Linked DNA regions of Pelodiscus sinensis. The protein of the gene in region 2 interacts with the protein of the main gene of each other region in a biochemical or structural test. Links are inferred from orthologs where the notes say so. Each region holds a gene or a part of one and is shown on either strand. Other genes may lie near its edges. The genes, in order: thioredoxin, MAP3K5, CIB1 and MAP2K4.

What was found.
Region 1: the proteins of MAP3K5 (region 2) and thioredoxin form a complex in vitro, tested with the Homo sapiens proteins (3 studies listed by BioGRID). The link is inferred for Pelodiscus sinensis from reciprocal best matches to the Homo sapiens genes MAP3K5 and TXN.
Region 3: the proteins of MAP3K5 (region 2) and CIB1 form a complex in vitro, tested with the Homo sapiens proteins (2 studies listed by BioGRID and IntAct). The link is inferred for Pelodiscus sinensis from reciprocal best matches to the Homo sapiens genes MAP3K5 and CIB1.
Region 4: of the proteins of MAP3K5 (region 2) and MAP2K4, one has a biochemical effect on the other in vitro, tested with the Homo sapiens proteins (3 studies listed by BioGRID). The link is inferred for Pelodiscus sinensis from reciprocal best matches to the Homo sapiens genes MAP3K5 and MAP2K4.

What each region holds. Positions count from the first base shown.
Region 1 is NC_134716.1:10,346,822-10,354,157, reverse strand, and holds the start of thioredoxin, read left to right. Parts: upstream 1-4,327; 5' UTR 4,328-4,439; coding exon 4,440-4,463; intron 4,464-7,336. UniProt on the Homo sapiens protein: Participates in various redox reactions through the reversible oxidation of its active center dithiol to a disulfide and catalyzes dithiol-disulfide exchange reactions.
Region 2 is NC_134713.1:97,632,528-97,639,622, reverse strand, and holds the start of MAP3K5 (mitogen-activated protein kinase kinase kinase 5), read left to right. Parts: upstream 1-4,080; 5' UTR 4,081-4,630; coding exon 4,631-5,042; intron 5,043-7,095. UniProt on the Homo sapiens protein: Serine/threonine kinase which acts as an essential component of the MAP kinase signal transduction pathway. Plays an important role in the cascades of cellular responses evoked by changes in the environment.
Region 3 is NW_027466005.1:108,302-115,837, forward strand, and holds the start of CIB1 (calcium and integrin-binding protein 1), read left to right. Parts: upstream 1-4,526; 5' UTR 4,527-4,669; coding exon 4,670-4,720; intron 4,721-5,672; coding exon 5,673-5,707; intron 5,708-6,725; coding exon 6,726-6,828; intron 6,829-7,536. Other genes in the region: GDPGP1 (GDP-D-glucose phosphorylase 1), read right to left, coding at 1,707-2,915. UniProt on the Homo sapiens protein: Calcium-binding protein that plays a role in the regulation of numerous cellular processes, such as cell differentiation, cell division, cell proliferation, cell migration, thrombosis, angiogenesis, cardiac hypertrophy and apoptosis.
Region 4 is NC_134730.1:262,730-269,865, reverse strand, and holds the start of MAP2K4 (dual specificity mitogen-activated protein kinase kinase 4), read right to left. Parts: upstream 3,001-7,136; 5' UTR 2,838-3,000; coding exon 2,756-2,837; intron 1-2,755. UniProt on the Homo sapiens protein: Dual specificity protein kinase which acts as an essential component of the MAP kinase signal transduction pathway. Essential component of the stress-activated protein kinase/c-Jun N-terminal kinase (SAP/JNK) signaling pathway.

The DNA.
Region 1 (7,336 bases), on a different chromosome or scaffold from region 2:
CCTCTTAGCTCCACCAGAGGTTTGATCCTACTCTCACTGAAGTCAATGGCATACCTTCCATTGGTTTTAATGGTGCAGGATTAACCCCCAAGTTCCCATAGGTAAGTATAATTATTCCCACTTTATAGATGAGAGAATTAAAAGCGACAAAGGTAAGAGCCAACATTTTCTAAGTTGGGTGTCTTGTAGTGAGGCAGTGTAATACAGCCGGTCCTCGAGTTGCGAACGGTCAAGTTATGACCATACGCATTTATGACTGAAGTGGTCGTAAATGCGGTCCCCGAGTTACGAACGCAATCCATGCTTACGAACAGCGCAGTTGCCATGTAACTCAATGGGCTCCGAGTTAAGAACACTTCGAGTTATGGCCAAGTGTTTGGTCCGTAACTCATTCATAACTCGGGGAGAGGCTGTGTAACTGTCCTGATTTTGCTAAGCAATGGCAATTTCCCAGTGAAGTCCCTGGGAACTGCTTGCACGCCTCCTCACCTGGAAAGCAGATAGGGTTGCCAAATGGTTTCAACAAACATACCGGAAACACTTGACATTACATCACAATCTACATTACAGCTTATTTAGAAAACACCGGATAGTTATATTTTCTCATTTATATTTTCTCCATTGGTTTCCTGAACAGAAAGCTCAAATACTGGACTGTCCGGTTCAAAACTGGACACCTGGCAACCCTAAAAGCAGACCTCTTTCAGTTAGGTGCCTAAATATGGAATTAAGTGCCTAGTTTTAGGCATCTACCTGTTAAATAGGTTTCATAAATGTATCTACCTTTAAAAGGTCTTGTGGGGATTTGATAATATTTACAAAAACAATCTGAAGATTAAATTCATTCTGGGCTAAACCCTGATGTCCTTATTCCATTTTTACTCTGTGCTTACTGCAGCAAAATTCCCAGTGACTTTATAAGTACTAGGTTACTATAATTGTGGAGCAATACACAGGCTTTTTTAAAAAGTCCAAGTACTTCTTAGTTATCTTCAGTTTCAGAGGTTACTCAGCATCAGTCTCTGATTTGCTAGCAGTTTGGCCATGAGACCCGGTAAACTATCATGCAGCAAGGTGGAAAGAGGCCTTATGCTACTTTTGTACTTCTTTGTATTTTGGGACTAGATAGGGCCCTGCTATTTCTCAGTATAAATCAGAGTAGCCTCATAGCCACTGTAATTTACAGTCAGTTGTCCATGGAGCACAAGGGTATATTCTGGCAGTTGAGAGTAGCAGATCACAGCAGTGGTTCTTTCCTGGCCATGCTTCTAGCATTCCTGTACCTCAAGCTTTAAGAAGGGGTACGTAGCTCCATTATGCCAGTTAAGCACCACCCAGATAATTCTCTTACACAATTACCCACTCTCTGAAGCCTCTAGTTTTATGACCCTATATGCTGCCAAAGTGACGAAAGTGGCCTCAGGTATCTATATATGGTATGTATGAGAGAGACATTTATCCTCTTCACAAAAGGAGAGGAATAAGCAAAAGGTCAAAAAGTACACTGTAAAGACTGCACATCATCTCCCAGGCAGGATAAATCATCTGAGAGCTTACCACATGGTGAAAATCCTTTAAAGACACAAGGAAATGAAATAATAAACACATCTTTTGCCGGAAAGACTGTAACTAACTAGCACAATATCTGTGAATCCAGTTGATAAAGAACCAGGGATTTTCCCTAATGCTTGGTGAAAGGGGATATCTGCTTATGCGGAAACAGAGATAAAGCGTTTATTAGATGTTTAAAATATTTTATCTTTAGTCAAACATTTACCTATTTAACAATTTAACATCTTTTATTCCCTTTGGCTTAGTCTCCACCAAATTCTAAAACATGTAAGACATATATATTTTATAGAGTACAAAATATTCATGTGATTGACCTCAGTGCAAAGGACCTAAAAATCTATTCATCTCAATAATCCAGCCACAATTATAGGGGCACCAATAATCATGTTCTTTGGAATCAAAAGATAATTATGGAGTCACTTTTTACAATCACTCAACTAAATTCATCCCAGGATTTTAAGGCACGCAACGAACACCAAAACATATTAAATGAGCCCCCAAATACATCCCCTCTTAAAAAAAACCACACACACACACAGAATATACAAAAAACAAAAATATACTTTTAAAAGTTCCACACAGTTTAAAGAATTCTAATGAAATTGTCCATTTTAAATATGCAAAATATTTCTGAACCTAGTGGAACTTTAAGGGTGTTCACTGTATCATTATTATTATAAATATACAATCAGGACTAGTTTAATTTAAGCAATACAAGTGACTACTTGAGATTTCATAATTGTAGGAAGTCTGTGGTCTAACACTGACTTGGGAACTCAGTAACCTTCCTGACTGCACCTTCTGAAAGCAAAAGAAGAGAAAACTTCATGGCAACTTGTGAACTCTCAAAAAATCATAAATCATATAGAGTTGACTGAAACTACTTAAATAATGCACACTGGCTGGAGTTTTTCCAGTAATATAAATTGTAAATAATGATATTTCACAAGCAGCAAAATCAGCAATGAACCACTGTGGGCAAGGAATGACGGAGGGAGGAGAGAAAGCATCTGAGTTCTGGGTGGTGCCTAAGCATGTGAAATACTTCCTGGTAATCATTACACAGCAGATATTTCCAAAGTCACTGAGCTTTTAGCAAGAACTGAGAGCCATAAGCTATGTAAGAAAATGTAGGCCCGCCCTTAGCATGTGGCTGTGATTAATGCATTTCTCACTATTTGATCAAAAGTTTCTTTAATGCCAAAAATTCCTCTACCTACCACTCTCTTTTTCTCCCATGTCACACTAAAGAGGCCCCATTTAATTCCAGAGAAACAAAAATACATGCTAAATAGGATGTATTTCCATCCATGTAATCATTTTTTATTTTCCGTAATTAAAAAAAAGAAAAATATCCTTTATTTCTTAACATCTGTTTTCAATTTTCCTGGAAGAAAAAATGCTTTCACATTTCTTATGCTATTATGCTAAGCATCTTTGGCCAAACTTTAGGGATCTTTTTTGCTTGTTTACTTTTCCAAGTAGGCACCAAAACACATTACCACAGTTTCTAATTTGTGTATTTTTAATTTGTGTGTTTTGTATTCCTTTGATGCTTTTTATCAGTCGGTGCTGGTGTATTGGCTTTTCATATATAGAGAGATTAATCAAAACTGCTTGCCTCAGAAAATTTCAAATTTTGGTTGAAAAATGTATCCTTACACCAAAATACTGCAATTGAAAACAATAATTGTTCAGTATTTGAACTCCCACCAAAAAAATGAAATTTTCAGTGAAATCCTCACTCCACCTTTTTTTAGCACATTTTGTGGATTTGGAGGTTTTCAATTAACAGACCATGAATTGGTTTTCAATACATCACACACTTTTATTGTTTCTTCGGCTACGTCTAAACTGGCATGATTTTCCATAAATGCTTTTATCGGAAAAGTTTTCCGTTAAAAGCATTTGTGGAAAAGAGCGTCTAGATTGGCACGGATGCTTTTCCTCAAAAGCACTTTTTGCGGAAAAGCGCCTGTGCCAATCTAGACATGCTCTTCCGCAAAAAAGCCCCGATCGCCATTTTTGCGATCAGGGATTTTTTTGTGCAAAACAAATCTGAGCTGTCTACACTGGCCCTTTTACGCAAAAGCTTTGCGCAAAAGGGACTTTTGCTGGAACGGGAGCAGCATAGTATTTCCGTAAGAAACACTAATTTCAGACAGTAGGAAGTCAGTGTTCTTACAGAAATTCAAGCAGCCAGTGTAGACAGCTGGCAAGTTTTTCTGCAAAAGCAGTTGCTTTTGTGGAAAAACTTGCCAATCTAGACACAGCCTTCAAGTATTAAACGCTTGTGCTGGGCCCTGATGTGCTGTGTTCCCGTCACAAGAGGGGTGGCTAGGGCAAATCTGAGCTACTGGCTCGCTCCCAGCCCCTGGCAATTTTCTTGGAAGAGCGGGGGGGGGGGGGGGTGTCACTTGCAGATTAGCCCACCCCCCCCCAAAAAAACCCGTCTGCAGCCCCGCCCAGCGCAGGGATTGGGCTGCATCAGCGCTGCCCTGTGTCCCTCCCAGGCAGGGGCAGGCGGCGTCTCCCTCCCTCGAGACCACGGGGGAGAGATCTGCTGGGGGGGGGGGGGATTTCTCAGGGTGTCCCTCCCCCAGTCTCGCCGCCTAGCGAAGCGAGGGGGCAGCACACGCGCCGAGGGGAGCGGGCGGGAGCGCGCACTGGCCCCCATGAGCGATGAGCGCGCATCCTCCTCTTCTGGGAAGGGAAGGGAAGGGAAGGGGGCGGGCGAATCGCGCGTGCGCACTAAGGCCAAGGGGGGCTGGCTGCTATATAAGCGCGAGGGTGGCACCCAGCCCGCCACAAGCACTAGCCGGAACAGCCGAGTTGTGTGTGTGACGAGCGCGGGCAGGGCGGCAACGATGGTGAAGCGCGTGGCGAACCTGGTGCGTAGCCAATGGCGCCGGCGCGGGCGCCGCGCTCTCCCCGCTGCCTACGGGCTGGGGCGGGTTCGGTTGGGCGGCGGTTGGAACTGCGGCAGCCCGTTGGCTCGCGGGAGCGCGCGCGGCCCCGTCGCGAGGCGGTGCTCTCGGGTCTGAGAGGCCCTGGGGATGGGCCTTGCCCAGTGCACGGCTGGGGGGGCTGCGCCGGGCCTGTGCGGGGAAGGGGGCGCGCTCCGCTCGCCACTGCCCCTATCTCCACACACACCTGCTGGGTGTGGCCCTGCGGCCGCTGCCACGGAGCGATGAGCCCGCGCTGGGCCTTGGGTGCGAGTCCGCCGCGCGTGTGCTACGGCCCCGGCTTGGAGTCCACCTGTCAGCGTCACACCTGCGCCTTTCCCTGGGCCCCGCGCGGCACGTGGAGGGGCCCCACGTAGCTGCCTGGGGGGGGGGTCTCGATTCAAACGGTGCACAGCACCATTGCTTCCCCTCCCCCCCCAGCCCTCAGGGCATTGCATGGGCTAGAGGGGCGCTCAGCTGTGGGGACACGAGCAAGGCTCTTCCCATGCGAATTCTGCGCTTGGGGCGCAAGCTGTAGTAGCGACAGCGAGGGTGGGAGCCGTCTGTGGTCTGCAGCAGTTTAATTAGAAAGCTGAAGCGAAAACTGATAGGCTGTGTTGACACTGGGCCACTTATTTCGGAAAATCAGCCGCTTTTCTGGAATAAGCTGCGAGCTGTCTACACTGGCTCTTGAATTTCTGGAAAAGCAACGATGCTCTACTGTACAAAATCAGCCGCTATTCCGGGAAAAACTATTCTGCTCCCACTCGGGCATAAGTCCTTATTCTGGAACACTGTTCCGGAAAAGGGCCAGTATAGACAGCCCAGTAGTCTTTCCTGGAAAAAAGCCCCGATCGTGAAAATGGTGATCGGGGCTCTTTTCCAGGAAAGCGCGTCTACATTGGCTACAGACGCTTTTCCGGAAAAAGGGCATTTCCAGAAAAGCAGCCTGCCAATATAGACGCTCCTTTACTGGAAAACTGAAAACGGAATAGTATTCCGTTTTAAGCAGTTCCGGAAATTCATGCCAGTGTAGACACAGCCATAGTGTAAGCTCTGCCTGATGTCGAAATATAGCTTCTTACCTGCCACTAACAACAAGAGCATTTTCAAGTGAAAGCACAAATTTGTTTACACTGTGCAGATGATTCATTGATACTGGTTACATGTCATCTCCATTAGATTTGCTGCTAGTGTGATAGTGTAATGATTACAAGAAGCATGCAGATTCCCTTCTTTGGGGAGGGCCTCAGGTCTAGGATTCTTGCTGTTCATCTGTGCTAGTAGCTTTGCTCAATAGCCTGGAAACTAACATAAGAATGGCCATACTGGGTCAGACCAATGTCCATGCAGCTTAGTATCCTGTCTTCTGATAGCGGCCAATGACAGATACTCCAGAAGGAATGAACGAACAGGTAATCAAGTGATCCATGCCCTGTCCCCCATTTCCAGCTTCTGACATACAGAGCCTACTGGCAACATTCCTGCCCATCCTGGCTAATAAGACTTGATGGACCTAACCTCCGTGAATGTATCTAGTCCTTTCTTGGACTCTGTTAAAGTCCTGGGCTTCTCAACATCCTCTGACAAGGCGTTCCACAAGTTGATTGTGTTGTGTGAAGAAAAACTTCCTTTTATTTGTTTTAAATCTACTATTTTATTTGACACCTAGTTATGTTATGGGAAAAAGTAAAATAACTTTCCCTTAATCTTTCCCCATAGCTGTCATGAGTTTATAGACCTCTGTCATATCCCCCACCTTGTGACTTTTCAGCTTAGAAAAGAGGAGACTAGTCTTTTTAATCTTTCTTCATATGGCACCTGTTGTGTCTGTGTGTGTGTCTCTGTCTCTCTCTCTCTCTCTCTCTCTCTCTCTCTCTCTCTCTCAAAATTAAATAATTACAAACTCCCAAAGTTTCTTAGCCAAGACTTTCAGAAGGGTGACAGGCAATCTAGGCTAGCGAGTGGGCTGCATGGATAGCCCTTCATTTCGGCTGTAAGAGTTTCATATCTAAGACAATCATATTTTCTTCCACTATTTGATCTGAGGAAGTGGGTCTGGCACACGAAAGCTCATCACCTAATAAACCATTTTGTTAGTCTTTAAAGTGCTACATAGTCCTGCATTTTGTTTCAGTTACACCAGACTAACAAGGCTACATTTCTATCACTATCCTGGGAGAGGGTCTTTTTTCCAACTGCACTTAGCTTAGAATTTGTGAGGTGTGACAACTGAATAGTAGCAGAGCTTTCATTGGATGCAGAGGAAGCCCATGGCTCTGAGTCCATGTTGTGTGATCAGCACACACTGCTAATATCAGTAGGAAAAACTGAGCAGAAACTAGTATAATCTGGCAGCCCCACCCCAGGAAACAATGTCTTGTGGGCCACACACCGAACCCTAGTGGCCTCAGAGTCCCCAGGCTCCACACAGTGCTGCCACTTTGAAGCTTCCCCTCTTCTCCCCCCCATCCTCTGTTGCCTTTTTCTGATAGAGGCAGCAAATGGGGGGGGGGGGGGTAATAGTTGTTCATAGCCCTAGTTTATACCTCCTAGATGGATTGCTGCCTATCAATCCACCTTTTAGTGAAGATATGTAGTCCCTTTCCAGAGTTGTGAAAAGGGAGGTGCATGCCTTCAGGATAGCACAGCTCAATACTGAGTGGAGCCCAGAGTACAGGCATTGTGGGATACTGGTGGGAGCCAGTTCTGCAGTTTGTTCCATTGACATTCTGTTCATTTTTTGTCCACAATAAAGGGCTGGGAAAAGTCTCAAATGAAAGCTTTTTATCATCAAAACTGGGCATTTTTCACAACAA
Region 2 (7,095 bases):
CATAGAAAGAGGTTTACCACTGTCAGAAAAACTCCTGCGTTCTTTTGACTTTCTCTTGAAAGAACACAATTGCAGTGTGGACATAAGTGTAGTCAAAACGGCTGGCTGTTCCATGTGCCTCTCTGTGCCATGCATTGGGGAGGGAAGAGACTTTGCACACTGTCCCCACTCCCAGCACAATCATCTCAGCTTCCATTGCCCCCTCTCCTTGCACTTTGAAACGAAACATATTACTCAATATCAAACCAAGTAAAGCAAAAAGTACTTTTCAACAGAAAGAGGAGATATAAAACTAGTAAAAAACACTCCCGCTTTCCTCTTCCCAATCTGTGAAAAGATGTGTATATCAAGAACTGGTTCCTTAGCTATCTAAAAGTCAACAAAAGCTTTTGCTTAACTTCAGGAAGCACAGCCACTAACAAGCATGTTTTATATAGAAATACCTAAAACAGATTCAGCAGTATTTCAACAATGAAAACAAGTAAACCAACCAACCAAAAACAAAACAACCAAAAAAGCCCAAAACAAAAAACACCCTAATGAGAAATTACCAGAAGGTGGCAGGCATGTTCCATCTAGAAATTAAGGTTCCAATTTCCCGGGACAAACTCCCAAGCAACATTGAAAGATTTGCTCAGGATCACAAAGTAGCTTGATGATGCCCCATGCTATTTACCACAACCCCACAGGTTCATTGCCCAACTATGTAGCATTTAGCCCTTAGAAAAATGGCTAGCTGCCAGGTTTATTGCAAGAAAAGCAGGTAGGAATCTCTAATCCAAAGAGATAACTTCCAGCAGCAAGGGAAGTGAAATACTTTGAACTACAGTCTCTGCTGTGATCTGATAGTGTTTTTTTGATCAGAACTGATGTGAGTTGGCTGGCAGCATATGTCAAGTGGGATTAGAGAGGAAGGTGAGGTTAGACTCCTGGATTCAATTCCTGGCTCTATATTTCATCACAGACTTCCCCTGTGATTTTTGAACAAATCAGTTAATCTCCCTGGGCCTAGATTCTCCATCTGTAAAATGGGGAGAATAGTAAAGCTGGGTTCAGTAACTTTCCATGTGATCAGCAGATCTCTTTCAGGGATTTTCCTTTAGCTCAGTGTCACATTATTGGGTTTTAATGTGAGTAGGCAGACAGTTACTGTACACACTGGTGTGTGTTTGCCCCAAATTGGGTACAAAGTGGGCCATGTGAGATGTCAAAGGAAAGCTTATGCTATGCAGGTTCTGTTTAAGCTACTCATGTACTTGTACAACCTGTGTGTGTGTGTGAAGGTATGAATATTAGCTTTAACCAGCCAGCCAAACCGGGTCTTCAGCTATTTTGTGCTGACAGAGATTGCTGCTAAATCTGTCCCCAAACATTTATAATGCATTCACTGTCTTTCTAACACACCAGATAGTTTTCAAAACTGTTAATGTTTAAAAACTCTGTTTCATACTTGTGTTGTCTGCTCTTTGTATGTATCCCTTCCTGGAGGGTGAGTGTGGATTAGTCAGTTTCAGACTCTGTTTCTGGTCAGTTTCATGTCTTGTTGTCCATGGACTAGAAATTCAGCAGTGTTGAAGGCTGCAGGCAAGGCTCAGGGTATATCTACACTACAGAGTTTTTTCGTAAAAACGGTAGTTTTTCTGAAAAAAAAACCCCTTCACTTATGTCCACACTGCAATCAAATTCTTTTGAAAAAAAATTGAAAAAACAGAGGGATTTTTTGACATCGGTACACCTCTTTCTACTCCCCAGCTGACCCCAGTCTCCACTGCCCATTTGAAAGGCACAGAGGTGGTGTTTCAAAGGGGCAGCTGCGTCTCAGCTGAGCTGGGAATCAGCTGTGCGGTGGCTGCCCCTTAGAAATGCCACCTCCATGTGTTTCAAAGGTGCAGTGGAGCCGGGGGTCAGCTGGGAACTCCCCAGCTGATCTCGGCTCCGCAGGGCATTTCCCCTGAGCCCAGGATCAGCTGACCAGGTTCTTCCCAGATGACCCCGGAGCCTGGGGAAATGCTGTGTGGAGCCCGGGATTCGTCTCTGTGCACATTTCAAAGGGGCAGCCTTGGGGTCTGGGGTCAGCTGGGGATTCTTCAGCTGATCTTGGGCTCTGTGCAGAATTTCCCCAGACCCCGGGTTCTGCTGCCGCGGGGAGCCCAGGATAAGCTGGGAGCCCCCAGCTGACCCCAGATTCTGCTGCCACACAGAGCCCAGAATCAGCTGGGCAGTCCCCAGCTGGCCCCGGGCTCCATGACTGCCCCTTTGAAATGCCACATTGGGGTTTCAAAGCGGCAGCGCCGCACAGCTACGTGGTGCTGCCACTTTGAAGAACCCCCTCCCCTCTATCTTATGGAGGCATCAAAGGGGGGAAATTGACTTGCTTATCGGATAGTCGACTAGTCTTTAACGTCCCTACCGGAGATCAGCTGCGCACTCCAGCTGATCCTGGGCTCCGCCTTGAGCTGCCCCTTGGAAACGCTGCCCCGACGCTTCAAAGGGGAAGTGCTGCATAGAGCCCAGGGTCAGCTGGGGACTCTAGCTGATCCTCCATGCAGTGCTGCCCTGTTGAAATGCCGCAGCGGCGTTTCAAAGAGGAGGCACATACGATTAATCGTGATTTTTACATATATACACTTGTATGGACAGTGAAAAACTGCTACAAGTGAAAAGTATTATTGGCACTTGCATGTTAGTTGTTGACTTTTTGCTGTGCATTCAGTGTGAACAAGGAAAGAAGATTAATTAGTTTAACTTTCTGATATAGTCAGGTTCTCTTACACTGGATTCTCTCTATGCTTCAAAGTTTACAGACTAGAAAGATGGAGGGAAATGCATACCTTCAGATAAAAATGCACTTCTCTAAGGTGTCTTCTTTGATTTAAACTGTATTTCTATTAGCTTATTGTAGAACTTTTTTAACCACTAAACTTGTGAGACCTAGCTGTCTGCCTCTTTAAGCAAGTCTCAAAAAAATTACTATATTTTTAAGCTTGTTTTCATGATTCAGTTAGAGAGAATTTACAAGAAAAGGATTAAGGTGAATACAAAGGTATATATGGAGGGGAGGGAAATGTCTGTCTTGGGAGACAGCGTGAGTCAACAGAGTTTCTGAGGTGTCAGCTAGTTCCTTAGCTTTTTCAAAGCTGAAAGGAATAGTAGTTCCAGATGATACACACAGCACGGGATATTTGGAAACCTCTTTGCTTGTAAGGGTCAATATTCAAGCAGTAAATGTTGATTTTACTGTTCACAAACACACCCTGAAAAAAATTGTCATCCATTCTGACAAAATTTACAGCTAGATAACATAAGAAAAATATTGCTTGAGAATGTTACTTTGTATATTGTGATATGTGAGTTTGACAATATGGGTTTTCATGATTATAAGTTTTCACTTTTTGAATGTCATCATATACTATACTATATATATTTTTGTTAGACTCTAAGGCTATGTGTACACTGCCGGGTACTTGTGCAAGAACGGCCATTCTTGTGCAGAGAGTCCACACTGCCTGCCCGCTCTTGCGCAAGAAGATTTACAGTGAAGCTTGGGAGGAGAGGGCTTCTTGCACAAGAGCTATGCTCTTTTCTAACAAATGTAAGCCCTCTTGTGCAAGAGCTTTTGCGCCAGAGGGCAGTATGGATGCACGGCCGGGGTTTCTTGCGCAAAAAAACCCTATGGCTAAAATGGCCATCAGAGCTTTCTTGCGGAAGAGAGCATCCACACTGCCATGGACACTCTTGCGCAAAAAGCATATGGCAGTGTGGACGTGTTCTTGCACAAGAGTTCTTGCCAAGAACCTGCCAGTGTAGGTATAAGGTGCTGCAGGATCATTCGTTGTTTTTTAATCATTTTCTAGTATTAAATAATTATTGGCTGACCTCCCTCCCATACATTTCCTAAAATTTACATTGATAAATATAAAACTAACCATTGATAGCGTCCACTGCATTTGATTTTTTGTTAATACTCGCATTGAGACGCTAAGATCTCTTGAGGAGCCACCCCCACGCAGCTAACCTAACGGAGCCGCCTACAAGAGAGCAGCAGAGGGCGCCGTGCAGGGAAAAAGCGAATCAACAGCTGGTAGGAGCCATAGAGGGAGCCAGCGTCGCGCACCAAGCCTGAGCGAAAGTTTGGCGCGGCCAGAGCCGCCGCGAGCGCAGGAATGCAGCCAGGCCCAGGGGCGGGACTAAGGGAGGAGCCGGGCGGCTACTGGCAGGGCTGCTGCTCTGTGGGTGCAGCCATCCAAGCTGGATGAAGCGGCGAGGCTGAGGAGCGGCGATCCCACAAGTGGTTTGGCGGCTGGTCGGAGCGGCGGGAGGCAGGCGAAGGAAGAGCGAGTGCGAGGGGCTGCGGGAAGAGGCTGTGCCCTGCAGCGCGCTCGCCAGGTGGCCGCTGCCCCGCAGGTGAAGCCAGCCCCGCGCGATGGTGCCCTTGGCGGGCGCCCCAGGAGACTGCGCTGCCCTCCCGGCTCGGCTCGAGCTCGGCAGCCGCTGAGTGGGGGTCGCTTGCTGCCTGTAGGAGCCGGCGGCGGGCAGGGACGGGGCAGGGCGAGCGCGGCGGGCGGCGCGGCATGGCAGCGCCGTAGCCCCGGCGGCACCAGCAGAGCCCAGGGCACGGCGCCCCGCAGGGATGAGCGACAGCAGCGAGGGCATCAGCTTCTCGGTGCCCAGCCCGCCGGGCAGCGCCTGCCCCCACGAAGACGGGCTCAGCCGGAGAGCGGCGCCGGGGGCAGACGGGGGCGCCCGGAGCCTCCTGTCCGCGCCGCCAGCCGGCACCTACTGGAACGAGGACAGCGGCGCTGCTTGCCCTGCGGGGACAGGGACAGGAGGCCGGGTTAAGGGCGGCAGCACCCGGAGGACCACGGTGTCCTACGTGATCAACGAGGAGAGCCAGGGGCTGCTGCTGGTGGCGGCGGCGGAGAGCGGGGCCCTGCAGAGCCTGCGGGAGGCGTGCGAGGCTGTCGGGGCCTCCCTGGAGACCGTGCACTTCGCTGAGCTGGACTTCGGAGAGACCACGGTGCTGGACCGCTTCTACAACGCAGGTGAGCGACCCCACAGCCTCTCGCTCGGCTTCCTTCCCCTGCCTGGCTCCTTGCCTCCCACCCAGGGGCGCTCTTCACAACAGCTGGGCAGTGGCGGTGGGGGTTGTCACCCTAGGATCTGTTTTGCTGGGTGTGACATTCTGGGGTGCAATCTGTCATCCCTGCCCAAGGGTAGACGGAAGCTAATCTATATAGTCCATAGAGACACAGGTTTGTTCCTGCTGCTGTAGTGTGTCAGTTACTTCCTCTTTTGTTCATATGTCAGTGGCACTTTGTTGGGATGACATGCTGTGCAAAGGTTACTACTCATGTAAGCAAAAGACAAGCAGCTTCCCCTGGACTCCCTTTCCCTTGATAGAGGTAGGCATATCTCTCTCAGATTAGGGTTACACACTGTGCTTGAGGTTCCATTTTTCTGGACCATCCATCATTACCAGAAAATGGAACCTCAAACACAGGGTCAGGCCCACTTTTTCCTCTCAGATGTTTTCTGTGATTCTTGACACTTTGAAGAAATAGGTTTCTTGCACTTCTTGGTAGTTGGGACATTGGGGTAGAAGGTGTGTATCTGTCTCAGTCTCTGCCATACAGTGTTAGTTGCGCCTCTCATTTTAGCGCTTGTCTCCCAATTTTCTCAGTCCTCATTGATTCTGTATTAGGTGAGTCTCTCTCTTAATTTTGCAGATTCCACTGAGGTGGAGTCAACAGGGCTCTGGATGTGACTAAGGATGGGAGTACATCTGCCTGATATAACTACATGATGAGGGCCTAACATAAAATTTAGAATGCTACAAGTCTTTTCTAGTTGTTGTTGTTCTTTTATTGAGCTGTAAAATGGCAGTATAGTTTAAAACAGATTCTTAGACACTCTTGTGGTTTGTCCCATGTCTTGACAAAGAGGCTATTTCTTGGACTACAGCCCCTTCCATTGGTATTTAGGTAATATCCCTCAGACAACTACATTGTTTACATGGAAAAAAGGAGCAGCTAAAATACATTAGTTTCCTTTAATGTTATTTGGGGGGAAAGAAGGAACTAATTCTAAAAGGAACTAATTCTAGCTCTGCCCGCACCACCAGGTAGCACTTTTTGGAGCTCTGGTTGTCTTGCTACAGAGCTCAGTTTGGGAACCACCATTTTCAAATATACATATACAGGCAGTCCCCAGGTTACATGGATCCGACTTACATCGTATCCCTACTTACAAACGGGGTGAGGCAACCCCGCACTAGCTGCTTCCCCCCAGCAGACCACGGAGACGCGGAGCGGCTTTTCTCAGCAGACACCTCAGCTTGAGAATAAAGGACTGAGGGAAGTGAGGTATGGGAGAATAAAACTGAGCTCTGGAGAAATGTTTGGCTAGAGTTTCCCCTACAATATGTACCAGTTCCGACTTACATACAAATTCAACTTAAGAACAAACCTCCAGTCCCTATCTTGTACGTAACCCGGGGACTGCCTGTAGTGTTTTTTTTCCCCTCTCTCACTGTACTGAGCTCTTGCAGTTCCCATTTACTTCCGCTTGATTTCAGCACTTTTGAAAATAAAGTCCAATGTGAATATTTCAACATCTTCTTTATGTGGACCCAAAACTTGGGATAGTCTTCATATGTTTGGAAGAGACTGTGTCATATATCAATTGGATAAACTATTTAAGACAGCTGGGATTAAACAGAACTATGTATACGGAGTGTAACAGTTGCCAAGAAAGTCTCTGAATTCTGTCCTCTATCCTGATTTACATAGTTTCAAGTTTGCTACTGGGACCATGTTTGACTTGCTGGCAGTGTATTCACTAAGTTACTTGGCTGCAGTCAGTCTGGCAAGGCCACAGAGCCTGAGAGCTTCATGTTATCAAATAGGTAAGGTAAATGGGAGGGGCGTTGGGGAAGGGAAATAGCAATGGCCTATCAGATTTGTAAAGACTTTATAGAACCAGAATGATCATATTAAATGCTCTTTACAAAAGGAGAGAGAGAATTTGGAGCTAAGTTTTGACCAGATCTGTATGTGTTTGGAACACATTAGTTAAAATGTTTAAAATAACTTTTTC
Region 3 (7,536 bases), on a different chromosome or scaffold from region 2:
GTAACAGAAAGGTAGATATATTGGCTTTGAATTGTTTTGCATTTGAAGATCCGCTTACGCTGTCTTCCCTTGCAATATTGCTCGAATGAACTGCCTCTGGCTACTTGTTGCTTAAACACAACGCAGAGTGAAGGCTCGTTATCTTGCACACTGGCATTTGATGGCCTAGATCAAATTACTGGATGTGCAGTTAAATGAGCCTTTGATTTGGTAGCTTATGTTGTTGGCTCCAGGGACGAATTCGCTTGTATAGATACGTGGGCAGAGCTGGCACCACTGATTGCCGGGCCGGGTTCCTGGATGCTTATGATGTAGCTGTGTAGCATGGTGACTGGAAAGAATTCGTTTCAGGTTGGGGGGTTGTCTGTAAGCGAGAATGGGCTTTCCCTCAAGGCCTCAGAGTGAGAGGTCATTTTCCAAGATGGGTTGTAGCTTGCAGATAAGAAGTTGGAGGGGTTTGAGTTGTGGACTGCAAGTAATGACAAGTGCAATTCTGTTATTTTCTCTTTTGGGCCTGTCTTGAAGTAGTTCATCTCTGGGTACTTTTTTGGCTCTGTCAGTTTGTTTTTTCACTTCTCCAGGTGAGTATTTCAGTTTTAGGAATGCCTTATATAAATCCTGTAGGTGTTTGTCTCCGTCTGTGGGATTGGAGCAAATCCAGTTGTATCTTAGGGCTTGATAGATTGAGAAATGTGTCTGGGATAGAAGCTAGAGGTATGAAGGTAAGTGTAGTGGTTGGTGGGTTTCCAGTATAGGGTGGTGGAAATTTGTCCATTATTTAATTGTACTGTAGTATCCACGAAGTGGATTTGTCACATGGACTGGTCCAGGTGAAGGTTGATGGTGGGGTGGAAGTTGTTGAAATCCTTGTGAAATTCTTCAAGAGTCTTCTTTCTGTGGGTCCATATGATGAAGATGTCATCGAAGTAGCATAAATAAAATAGGAGCGTTAGGGGGTGAAAGCTGAGGAGACATTGTTCAAGATCAGTTTGTGGTGCCATGCGGGCACCCATGGCTGTGCCGCTGACTTGGGAGATACAAATGGTCTCCAAATTGGAAGTAGTGGGGGGCGAGGACAAAGTCGCAGAGCTCTGTAATCAGGTGTGCAGTGCTGTCATTGGGGATGGTGTTTCTGATGGCCTGTTATCTGTCTTCATGTGGAATGTTGGTGTAAAGGGCTTCTCCGTCCATAGTGGCCGGGATGGGATTTTCAGGTAGATTACTGATGTTTTGAAGTTTACCCTGACTGGTAAATGCCGGCAGCTGCTCTGGGGAAGAGAAAGGAGCCACTGGGATACGGGCACATTTCTGACCGAACCGGCCCTTTACTATGTGCTATGGGAAAGAGAGTAGATGCTGCAGCATCCAAAGGGGGTTTATTGGCTGTGTTCACCAGAAACAAGCCAATAGTTCAGTCACTACCGAGGTCAGAATTGTGGGGTTACCCCCCAGTTCTATCTCCCACTCCCATAGGGCAAGGACAACACTTCCTTCCTCTCTGGCCCAGAGTGGCACAGCAGGCCAGTGTCCAGAGGAGCCAGTTGGCAGTGCCTGCGGGGGCAGTGGTATAAAACAACAAGGCAGCCTCCATACTGGACCCAGAGCCAGAGCCCCACAGTGAACCATTCTGCAGCGATTCCAAAACACACGAGAGTCAGACTGGCCACAAGGAAGTGTGAGGCACGTGCAACGCAGAGCCCACGGGGTTACTGTGTGAGAAGTGCCACCAGCTGGCTACAGAGCTGAGCCAGCTGCGCCTCGGGGAGGAGGTGTCTCTGGATGGTGTGAATAGCTGTTGTCTCTGTGAGGCTCTCGAAGTCTTGGGCAGTTTTGACAGGCAGGTGCCCAGCCAGCTCACAAAGTGCCACGTTAAATGCAGTTTCCTCTTTGCTCCCAAAGCAGGAGCTCCTGGCCCAGATGACCACCCGGATCCCAGACCGAGCCTGGGAATGGGCTGGCTCCCCAGGAGCAGTTCCCCGGGTCACAAACACATTGTGTGCAATCTCCTTCTCCACCAGGTAATCAGTGACGCGGCAGATGGTGTGCGCCAGGGCTGCTAGCCCCTCTCCCTCGCTGTAGAACAGGAACCCTGGGGCCGGGACCCCCCGCAGGAAGTGGAAGTTGAGCGTGGGGCACAGGGCTTCGCCTGGGGCCGTCTCAATCAGGAGCTGCCAATCCAGGTAAAACCCATGCAGGTGCAAGTGGTTGACTGAGGCGAAGGCTCCCAGGCTGTTAAAGCCAACCCGGAAGCCTGGGTGTGCACTGAGAAGAACCGACTCCAGTCCGAACTGGAGCAGCTCCTGGGTGAGGATCTGAGGCAGGCAGAGAGCAGGGTCTGGAACAAAGAGCACGTGTCCAAACTCCAGAGGGCTGACGTTAATCACCACTAGGACGTGGGCAAGTGTCCTTGGGAGTTCACGCTCCCGCAGGCCCCCTCGGCCCTGAGAGGGCCCCTTGGTGGGAGGGTGGAGCGTAGGGCCCCTGGCCATATGGAAGAGGATTTCCCCTGGGTTGATCTTATTGAAATGGAATTGCTGGGGGTCAAATGTCTGCCTTATGCTCTGGATGGCCTGTGGTCGCCTCCTCTCCAGCCCCCTCTGGATGTTCAGCTGGGCCACAAACTGGACCTTCCCAGGCAAGACGCGGGTCTGTAGCTCGCCCAGGCGATACCGGAAGAGCCCCAGCCTCATCCTCTCCTCCCAGCCAGCCTGCAAAGCTCTGTCAAAGCGAGACAAGGGGTGGCGTGCTGGCCCCTCCGACCTGCTTCTCCACCACCCAACCCCACACAGCACATAATCTTCTTCACCATACACAAAGTCTTCCTGGCAGGACACAGGGCGGCTGCCTGGCTGCTCCGGGGATGGCAGCCCCGCTGGGTTGCGGAGGGCTGGGCTGGCACCCAGGGGCGCTGCCATGGCAGATGAGCAGCAGCTCTTAGGGCTCCGCTGCAGGCAGCATCCCCAGCGGATCTGGAACACACAAAGCAACCGCTGGGCATGAGGGGCCGTGGGCAGAACTCAGGGAGGAAGCAAGAGCCCCGCCCGCCCTGCCCCGCCCCGCCATGGGGCCACGACCCCGCCCCTCCCCGCCATGGGGCCACGAGCCCGCCCCTCCCCTCCCCCCATGGGGCCACGAGCCCGCCCCTCCCCTCCCCCCATGGGGCCACGAGCCCGCCCCTCCCCTCCCCCCATGGGGCCACGAGCCCGCCCCGCCCCGCCATGGGGCCACGAGCCCGCCCCGCCCCGCCATGGGGCCACGAGCCCGCCCCGCCCCGCCCCGCCATGCCATGAGGCCACGAGCCCGCCCCTCCCCTCCCCGCCATGGGGCTACGAGCCCGCCCTGCCATGGGGCCACGAGCCCGCCCCTCCCCTCCCCGCCCCGCCCCGCCATGGGGCCACGAGCCCGCCCCGCCCCTCCCCCCCATGGGGCCACGAGCCCGAAGCAGCTGCTCCCTCCGTCCCAGGTCTCCCAGCGGAGGGGGGGGCGCTGAGCGAGGAGCCGCCGGCCCCGCCCCCACTCACCCGCCGGCCCCGCTCCCCTCAGGCGCGCGGCTCCCGGCATGCTCCGCGCCGAGAGGCGGGGACACATCGCGACCTGCCACGCGAATGGGCGGAGGGGAAAGGTCACAGCTCCCGGCATGCCCCGCGCTCGGGGGGGGGGCGGGTCGATGCTCCCGGCATGCCCCGCGCTGGGGGGGGGGGGGGTCGAAGCTCCCGGCATGCCCCGCGCTCGGGGGGGCGGGTCGAAGCTCCCGGCATGCCCCGCGCTGGGGGGGAGGGGGGGGGGGTTCGAAGCTCCCGGCATGCCCCGCGCTCGGGGGGGCGGGTCGAAGCTCCCGGCATGCCCCGCGCTGGGGGGGGGGGGGGGGGTCGAAGCTCCCGGCATGCCCCGCGCTCGGGGGGGCGGGTCGAAGCTCCCGGCATGCCCCGCGCTGGGGGGGGGGGGGGGGGGGGGTCGAAGCTCCCGGCATGCCCCGCGCTCGGGGGGGCGGGTCGAAGCTCCCGGCATGCCCCGCGCTGGGGGGGAGGGGGGGGGGTTCGAAGCTCCCGGCATGCCCCGCGCTCGGGGGGGCGGGTCGAAGCTCCCGGCATGCCCCGCGCTGGGGGGGGGGGGGGGGGTCGAAGCTCCCGGCATGCCCCGCGCTCGGGGGGGCGGGTCGAAGCTCCCGGCATGCCCCGCGCTGGGGGGGGGGGGGGGGGGGTCGAAGCTCCCGGCATGCCCCGCGCTCGGGGGGGCGGGTCGAAGCTCCCGGCATGCCCCGCGCTGGGGGGGGGGGGGGGGGTCGAAGCTCCCGGCATGCCCCGCGCTCGGGGGGGCGGGTCGAAGCTCCCGGCATGCCCCGCGCTGGGGGGGAGGGGGGGGGGGTTCGAAGCTCCCGGCATGCCCCGCGCTCGGGGGGGCGGGTCGAAGCTCCCGGCATGCCCCGCGCTGGGGGGGGGGGGGGGGGGTCGAAGCTCCCGGCATGCCCCGCGCTCGGGGGGGCGGGTCGAAGCTCCCGGCATGCCCCGCGCTGGGGGGGGGGGGGGGTCGAAGCTCCCGGCATGCCCCGCGCCGGGCACTTGGCGGAGGCGGCCCTTTAAGCCGTGGGCGTTGCTGGGGCGTCTCCTGGAGACGGTGACGTAGGACCCCGCTCGCGCGGACTCCGGCCGGGGAAGCAGCGCGGGGCGGCATGGGGGGCTCGGCCAGTCAGCTCCCGCGGGACCTGCTCGGCGAGTACCAGGTACCCCCCCCCGGGGCCCCTCCCCCCGCCGCCACCCGCCGCCACCAGCCCCCCCCGAGCGCCCCCCCCGGGGCCCCTCCCCCCGCCGCCACCCGCCGCCACCGGCCCCCCCCGAGCGCCCCCCCGGGGCCCCTCCCCCCGCCGCCACCGGCCCCCCCCGAGCGCCCCCCCGGGGCCCCTCCCCCCGCCGCCACCGACCCCCCCCGAGCGCCCCCCCGGGGCCCCTCCCCCCGCCGCCACCGACCCCCCCCGAGCGCCCCCCCGGGGCCCCTCCCCCCGCCGCCACCGGACCCCCCCGGGGCCCCTCCCCCCGCCGAGCCCCTCCCCCCGCCGCCACCGGCCCCCCCCGAGCGCCCCCCCGGGGCCCCTCCCCCCGCCGCCACCGGCCCCCCCCGAGCGCCCCCCCGGGGCCCCTCCCCCCGCCGCCACCGACCCCCCCCGAGCGGCCCCCCGGGGCCCCTCCCCCGAGCACCCCCCCGGGGCCCCTCCCCCCGCCGAGCCCCTCCCCCCGCCAACACCGGCCCCCCCCGGGGCCCCTCCCCCCGCCGCCACCGGACCCCCCCCGAGCGCCCCCCCGGGGCCCCTCCCCCCGCCGCCACCGGACCCCCCCCGAGCGCCCCCCCCCGCCGCCACCGGACCCCCCGAGCGCCCCCCCGGGGCCCCTCCCCCCGCCGCCACCGGCCCCCCCCGAGCGCCCCCCCGGGGCCCCTCCCCCCGCCGCCACCGGACCCCCCCCGAGCGCCCCCCCCGCCGCCACCGGCCCCCCCCGAGCGCCCCCCCGGGGCCCCTCCCCCCGCCGCCACCGGACCCCCCCCGAGCGCCCCCCCCGCCGCCACCGGACCCCCCGAGCGCCCCCCCGGGGCCCCTCCCCCCGCTGCCCCCAGCCCCCCCGGTCCCCGCCCCCGGCCATGCCCCGCCCTACCTGCGCTGGGTAACGTTCCTCTCTTTCCAGGAGCTGACCTTCCTGACCAAGCAGGAGATCTTGCTGTGAGCGCCCGGCTGGTCCCCTCGCCCCTTGCCGGGCGCAGGAGCGAGAGGAGGGTTGCAGGGAGAAGGGGCCAGGGCCTGCCTGGAGCGCACCCAGCAGAGGGCTCAGAGCCACTGGGCCATAGGGTGGAGCCCAAGCTAGACGCCCTGCCTGGCTCCAGTGGGAGGGGTAGCTGGGGGAGGCAGCACTCCTAGCATGGCGGTGGCTGCTCCTGGAAAGCCCCAGATATGACACGGGCCCCCGAGGCAGGGCCCCCTTCCCCCGCACTGGTCCCCTTTGCTCTGAGTTGTGAGTGGTGGCAGCTGCCGCAGCGCGCACTGGCAGGGGTGCAGGCAGAGGTGGCAGCGCGGCCTAGGGGGCATGCATCCTAGCGGGGGGAGGGGAGTGCGGTGCAGCAGTGTGCAGTGACCAGGTAGTTCCTTCTGCCCTGAGCTTCTTCCTGCTCTTGCTCCCCGCCCTGCTGCACTCCCTGGCACAGGGCCTTTGAGCCTGGCTCTGTGCTGGACTCTGCTCCAGGGTGTGACGGCTTCTTGGTGTTTCCCTTGATGGGCTGCTTGAGGTGAAGCTGCTGGCACAAGCCCAGCCTGCCTGAGAGCGAGTCACGCACTGGCCAGGCACCGGCAGCTGGTCCTGTGCAGGGGCCTGTGGGGAAGTCCCTGCAGCGGTTGCTCTGGGAGCCTTCCTGGCAGCCACCTAGCACCGTAACCTCTGCAACTGGAGGTGCGGGGGGGCTACAGCAGGCTGGTGCCTAGTGCCACACTGAGCGGCCAGAAGGTGGGAGCTGGGTCTAGGGGCCAGCTGTGGCTGTAGCTTGCAGAGAAGGGGGCTGGCTGGCTGGGGAATGACTCTTCCTTCTCCCTTGCCCCTTGTTTGCGTCCATGTCTTTCTGCTCAAGCCTGGGAGTGTGCTCGGGGCATGCAGAATGGGTCCCCTGGGGGAGTGGCCCAGCTGAGCCCAGTAGCCAGGCCCAGGCCGGCAGCAACTCTGCCAGGCTCTAATTCGTCCTGTCTCCCAAAGCGCCCTCAAGAGATTCAGCGAGCTGCTGCCCAAGGAGGAGAGGGAGGACATCCTGCAGACAAGAGTCCCCGCGAGCAAGATGCTCACACTGCCTGAGCTGAGGGTATGGTGCACGCCCCCTGCTGCTTGGCCCCCTCTGCCCTAGGAGGAACCAGGTCAGCCCCACTCATCGGGGCAAAGACTCGGGTCCTGCCTGGGGCAGCTCCTTATCTGCTGCCCTTCATGCTGGGGGTGCTCGGCCTGGGCGGTTCAGTCACGGTGCGCTTGCTGTGCTGCGAGAGGGCCGTCCGCCTGGTGCCTTTCTCTCTGTGCCGTGCGGGCACTGCCGGCCTCGGGGCGCAGGGGCTGCCCACGGCCAGTGGAGCTGCACGTGATGTTGAGGGTCTCTGCACAGCAGGAGACTTTAAGGGTATGTCTAGACTACGTGCCTCTGCCGGCAGAGGCATGTAAATTAGACATACCGACATAGTCAATGAAGTGGGCCCCGGGGGGCAGCAGTCAAGACGGGGATTGGTCGGCAAGGAAAGCTTTTGCCGACCGATCCCTTATGCCTCGTGCAACGAGGTTTCCGGGATCGGTCGGCGAAGGCTTTCCTCCGATCCCCGTCTTGCCTGCCGCTTTGTGCCGACAAATAGCTGAGCCGGCACGATGCAGTGGCCATTTTTATTCTAATGAAGCGGGGGATATTTAAATCCCCACTTCATTGACTATGTCGGTATGTCTCATTTCCAAGCCTCTGCCAGCAGAGGCACGTAGTCTAGACATACCCTGAGGCTGGAAGGGATCATGGTGATTCTCTGCTTGGCCCTCT
Region 4 (7,136 bases), on a different chromosome or scaffold from region 2:
CCCACACACACACACAGCCTGTGGGCACACTGCCCCCCCCACACACACACACAGCCTGTGGGCACACTGCCCCCCCCCACACACACACAGCCTGTGGGCACACTGCCCCCCCCCACACACACACAGCCTGTGGGCACACTGCCCCCCCACACACACACAGCCTGTGGGCACACTGCCCCCCCACACACACACAGCCTGTGGGCACACTGCCCCCCCCACACACACACACACAGCCTGTGGGCACACTGCCCCCCCCCACACACACACACAGCCTGTGGGCACACTGCCCCCCCCACACACACACACAGCCTGTGGGCACACTGCCCCCCCCCACACACACACAGCCTGTGGGCACACTGCCCCCCCCCCCACACACACAGCCTGTGGGCACACTGCCCCCCCCCCACACACACAGCCTGTGGGCACACTGCCCCCCCCCCACACACACACAGCCTGTGGGCACACTGCCCCCACCCACACACACACAGCCTGTGGGCACACTGCCCCCCCCACACACACACACAGCCTGTGGGCACACTGCCCCCCCCCACACACACACACAGCCTGTGGGCACACTGCCCCCCCCCACACACACACAGCCTGTGGGCACACTGCCCCCCCCCCACACACAGCCTGTGGGCACACTGCCCCCCCCCACACACACACAGCCTGTGGGCACACTGCCCCCCCCCCACACACACAGCCTGTGGGCACACTGCCCCCCCCCCACACACACAGCCTGTGGGCACACTGCCCCCCCCACACACACACACAGCCTGTGGGCACACTGCCCCCCCCACACACACACACAGCCTGTGGGCACACTGCCCCCCCCCACACACACACAGCCTGTGGGCACACTGCCCCCCCCACACACACACACAGCCTGTGGGCACACTGCCCCCCCCACACACACACACACAGCCTGTGGGCACACTGCCCCCCCCACACACACACACACAGCCTGTGGGCACACTGCCCCCCCCACACACACACACACAGCCTGTGGGCACACTGCCCCCCCCCACACACACACACACAGCCTGTGGGCACACTGCCCCCCCACACACACACACACACAGCCTGTGGGCACACTGCCCCCCCCCAACACAGCTGGGCACATGCCCCCCACACACAGCCTGTGGGCACACGCCCCCCCCACACACACACAGCCTGTGGGCACACTGCCCCCCCACACACACACAGCCTGTGGCACACTGCCCCCCCCCACACACACACAGCCTGTGGGCACACTGCCCACCCGCCCGCCCCCCCCCACACACAGCCTGTGGGCCACACTACCCACACACACAGCCTGTGGGCACACTGCCCCCCCCCACACACACACACAGCCTGTGGGCACACTGCCCCCCCCCACACACACACAGCCTGTGGGCACACTGCCCCCCCCACACACACACACAGCCTGTGGGCACACTGCCCCCCCCCACACACACACACAGCCTGTGGGCACACTGCCCCCCCCCACACACACACAGCCTGTGGGCACACTGCCCCCCCCCCACACACACACAGCCTGTGGGCACACTGCCCCCCCCCACACACACACAGCCTGTGGGCACACTGCCCCCCCCACACACACACAGCCTGTGGGCACACTGCCCCCCCCACACACACACAGCCTGTGGGCACACTGCCCCCCCCCACACACACACAGCCTGTGGGCACACTGCCCCCCCCACACACACAGCCTGTGGGCACACTGCCCCCCCCCACACACACACAGCCTGTGGGCACACTGCCCCCCCCCACACACACAGCCTGTGGGCACACTGCCCCCCCCCACACACACACAGCCTGTGGGCACACTGCCCCCCCCCACACACACACAGCCTGTGGGCACACTGCCCCCCCCCACACACACACAGCCTGTGGGCACACTGCCCCCCCCACACACACACACAGCCTGTGGGCACACTGCCCCCCCCCACACACACACACAGCCTGTGGGCACACTGCCCCCCCCCCACACACACACAGCCTGTGGGCACACTGCCCCCCCCACACACACACACAGCCTGTGGGCACACTGCCCCCCCCCACCACACACAGCCTGTGGGCACACTGCCCCCCCCCACACACAGCCTGTGGGCACACTGCCCCCCCCCCACACACACACAGCCTGTGGGCACACTGCCCCCCCCACACACACACAGCCTGTGGGCACACTGCCCCCCCCACACACACAGCCTGTGGGCACACTGCCCCCCCACACACACACAGCCTGTGGGCACACTGCCCCCCACACACACACAGCCTGTGGGCACACTGCCCCCCCCCACACACACAGCCTGTGGGCACACTGCCCCCCCCACACACACACAGCCTGTGGGCACACTGCCCCCCCCACACACACACAGCCTGTGGGCACACTGCCCCCCCACACACACACACAGCCTGTGGGCACACTGCCCCCCCCACACACACACACACAGCCTGTGGGCACACTGCCCCCCCCCCACACACAGCCTGTGGGCACACTGCCCCCCCCACACACACACACACAGCCTGTGGGCACACTGCCCCCCCCCACACCCGCTCGCCCCCTCCCCGCGCGCTCCCCCCCGCCTGCCCCTCCGCTCGCCAGGCCCAGGCCGGCCCCGTCAGGCCCGTGGCCCCGCGCCCTGAGGCGGCAGCCGGCGGTCCCGGCGCGCGGGCCGGGGCGGCTCGAGGGCCCGGCCGGGCCTAGGCGCAGGCGGAGGCCGCGGGGCCGGGGCCTGGCGGGGCCGCTCACCCTGCATGCTGCTGAGCGCCGTGTGCGCCTGCGAGCCCGGGGCGCCGGAGCCGGAGCCGCCGCTGGGGCTGGGAGCCGCCATTGTGCGCCGCGCCGCGCCCGCCCGCAATGCAGCAGGGACCCTCCCAGGCAGGACACCTAGAGCCCCGACTCCGTATCGCAGGCGCCGCGCCCGGCCCAGGCCGTCCCCGCCGGGCTCGCCTGACCCCTCCCCGCGCCGCGCCGCGCCGGGACCCTGCCCCGCTCCTGCCCCGCCGGGTCCGCCTGACCCCTCCCCGCGCCGCGCCGGGACCCTGCCCCGCCGGCTCTGCCCCGGCCCTGCCCCGCCGCCCGCCGCCCGCCGCTGCCCCGGCCCTGCCCCGCTCCCTCCCCGCCGCCCGCCGCTGCCCCCGGCCCTGCCCCGCTCCCTCCCCGCCGCCCGCCGCTGCCCCGGCCCTGCCCCGCCGCCCGCCGCTGCCCCGGCCCTGCCCCGCCGCCCGCCGCTGCCCCCAACCTCCCTCGAGCCGAGCCCGGCTGCCTCCCTGCCCCGCCGCTGCCTCCGGTCCCGCTCCTGCCTCTCTGCCCGGCTGCCTTCGTGCCCCTACCCTGCTCCAGCCTCCCGCGCACTCCTGCCTCTGGCCTTCCTGACTCCCCTGCCCTTCTGCCTTCCTACCCTCGCCTACCTGCCCTGAACCCCTGCCCGGCTCCGGCCTCTGGCCTCCCTATATCCCTGCCCTCCTATGCCTGCCCAAATCCTGCCTCTGGCCTCCCCCATAACCCTACTCATCTCCTGCCTCCCTCATACCCCTACCCTGCTGCTGCCTCTGGCCTCCCCCATATTGCTGCCCTAGTGCTCTCTAGCCTGCTCCCATGCCCTTTCCCTGCTCTTCTGCTGTTGCTTCCAGCCTGCTCCCCTACCTCTTCTCTTCCCTGGTCTGCTTCTGCCTCCGGCCTGTCCCTTTAGCCCTGCCCTCATACCCCTTTCCTGCCCTTCTCCTGCTACCTCTACCACTATTCAGCCATTCCTCATCAAAATGGCCACTCAGTTTTCTTATCAGAAACACATATCTGAATTCCTTTGCTGTTATATCCTTTTCAGTATCCCTTTCTATCTGGCCTTCCATAAGATCCAGTCTACTAATATCCATTAGTTCTGGGCCAACCCTGGGGAGTAGGCTCAGGGCATGAGGGCTTCCCCTGCTCCGCTCACCCACCCAGTGCTCCAACCAGTGAGTGGGATCTGGGTGCAGGAATCTTCGGAATGCCTGGAGTGCCAGGTGGGCAGACGGAGAAGAGTCAGGACTGCAGGGGTGAGCCCCAGCCCATGCATAGCTATGCTCCTGCAGTGTGGCCTAGTAACTAAAGCATTGGACTAGGACTCAGGAGAATGTTTTAGTTCCAGCTCTTTTCCATCCATTTCTCTGTATTTCTGTCCCCCATTTATAAAAGTGCAACTATACTATCCCCCTTTGCAAAGCATTTTGGTATCTACTGATGTAAGTCCTAGGTATAGAGTTATAGAATCCTAGGGCTGGAAGGCTATGTCTACACTCGCGGGCGAGAAATATGCAAATGAGGCTAAGCATGGCATATCCCCTGAAAATAATCAGAGTAGCAGCATTGCACAAGAGGAATTTTGTTGCACAAGAAGGGGCAGTGTAGACAGCTCCTTCTGGCGCAAGAGTCTCTTGGCGATATTCCATTTTTAGCTTCATTTGCATATTTCTCACACAAGAAGCTGTGAGTGTAGACATAGCTGAAGAGACCTCAGGAGGTCAAGTCTAACCCCGTGCCCAAAGCAGGACCAACTCCAACTAAATCATCCCAGCCAGGGCTTTGTCAAGCCAGAACTTAAACACCTCTAGGAGTGGAGATTCCCTTAGGAAACCCATTCCAGTGCTTCACCACCCTCCTAGTGAAATAGTTTTTCCTAATATCCAACCTAGACCTCTCCCACTGTAACTTGAGACCAGTGCTCCTCCTTCTGCCATCTGTCACTACTGAGAACAGCCTCTCTCCATCCTCTTTGGAATCTCCCTTCAGGTAATTGAAGGCTGCTATTAAATCCTCCCTCACTTTTCTCTTCTGCAGATTAAATAAGCCCAAATTTCTCAGCCTTTCCTCATAGGTCATGGGCTCCAGCCCCCTAATCATTTTGGTTGCCCTCCGCTGGACCTCTCCAATGCGTCCACATCCTTTCTATAGTGGGGGCCCCGGAACTGGACGCAATACTCCAGATGTGGCCTCACCAGTGTCAAATACAGGGGAATAATAGATCTAGATCTTCTCTAGATCTGCAGGCAGTGCTCTTATATGCACCCTAATATGCCATTGTCCTACATAAGAACAGCCGTACTGGGTCAGACCAAAGGTCCATCTAGCCCAGTAGCCTGACAAACAGAGGCCAGGGACACCATTTCTATCCCCTGGCTAATAGCCTTTTATGGACCTAACCTCCATGAAATCATCTAGCTTCCCTTTAAACTCTGTTATAGTTCTAGCCTTCACAGCCTCCTCTGGCAAGGAGTTCCACAGGTTGACTACCCGCTGTGTGAAGAAGAACTTTCTTTTATTAGTTTTAAACCTGCTACACATTAATTTCATTTGGTATCCTCTAGTTCTTCTATTTAGGGAACTAATAAATAACTTTTCTTTATCCGCCCTCTCCACACCACTCATGATTTTATATACCTCTATCCCCCCTCAGTCTCCTCTTTTCTAAACTGAAAAGTCCCAGTCGCTTTAACCTCTCCTCATATGGGACCCGTTCTAAACCCCTAATCATTTTAGTTGCCTTTTTCTGAATCCTTTCCAGGCCAAAATATCTTTTTTGAGGTGAGGAGACCACATCTGTACACAGTATTCAAGATGTGGGCATACCATAGTTTTATACAGGGGCAGTAAGATATTCTATGTCTTATTTTCTATCCCTTTCTTAATAATTCCTAGCATCCTATTTGCCTTTTTGATCACCGCTGCACACTGGGGCTACGTCTACACTGGCCCCTTTTCCGGAAGGGGCATGTAAATTTCAGCAGTCGTCGTAGGGAAATCCGCGGGGGATTTAAATATCCCCCGCGGCATTTAAATAAAAATGTCCGCCGCTTTTTTCCGGCTTTTAAAAAAGCCGGAAAAGAGCGTCTAGACTGGCCCCGATCCTCCGGAAAAAGTGCCCTTTTCCGGAGGCTCTTATTCTTACTTCTTATTTAAATGCCGCGGGGGATATTTAAATCCCCCGCGGATTTCCCTACGACGACTAGTGAAATTTACATGCCCCTTCCGGAAAAGGGGCCAGTGTAGACGTAGCCTGTGTGGAAGTTTTCAGGGAACTATCCACGATAACTCCAGGATCTCTTTCCTGATTTGTCATAGCCAAATTAGCCCCCATCATACTGTTCGTATAGTTGGGGTTATTTTTCCCAATGTGCATTACTTTACACTTACTCACATTAAATTTCATTTGCCATTTTGTTGCCCAATCACTCAGTTTGGTGAAATCTATTTACAGTCCCTCACAGTCTGCTTCTGTCTTGACTATCCTAAACAGTTTGGTATCATCCCCAAACTTTACCACCTCACTGCTTACCCCTTTCTCCAGATCATTTATGAATAAGTTGAAAAGGATTGGTCCCAGGACTGACCCTTGGGGGACACCACTGGTTACCCCTCTCCATTCTGAAAATTTACCATTTATTCCTACACTTTGTTTCCTGTCTTTTAACCGGTTCTCAATCCAAGAAAGGACCTTCCCTCTTATCCCATGGCCATGTAATTTACACAAGAGCCTTTGGTGAGGGACCTTGTCAAAGGCTTTCTGAAAATCTAAGTATACTGTATCTACTGGATCCCCCTTGTCTGCATGTTTTTAACCCCTTCAAAGAACTCTAATAGATTAGTAAGACATGATTTCCCTTTACAGAAACCATGCTGACTTTTGTCCAACAAATTATGTTCTTCTACATGCCTCACAATTTTATTCTTTACTATTCTTTCGACTAATTTGCCCGGTACTGAAGTTAGATTTACCGGTCTGTAATTGCCAGGATCGCCTCTAGAGCCCTTTTTGAATATTGGTGTCACATTGGCTACCTTCCAGTCCTTAGGTACAGAAGCCGATTTAAAGGATAGGTTACAAACCACAGATAATAGTTCAGCAATTTCCCTTTTGAGTTCTTTTAGAACCCTTGGATGAATGCCATCTGGTCCCGGAGATTTGTTAACATTAAGTTTTTCTATTTCTTCCAAAACCTTCTCTAATGACACTTCAATCTGAGACAGTTCCTCAGATTCATCACTCACAAAGGACGGTACAGATTTGGGAATCTCCCTAACATCCTCATCCGTGAAGACTGAAGCAAAGAAATCATTTAGTTTCTCCGCAATGGCTTTATGGTCCTTGATT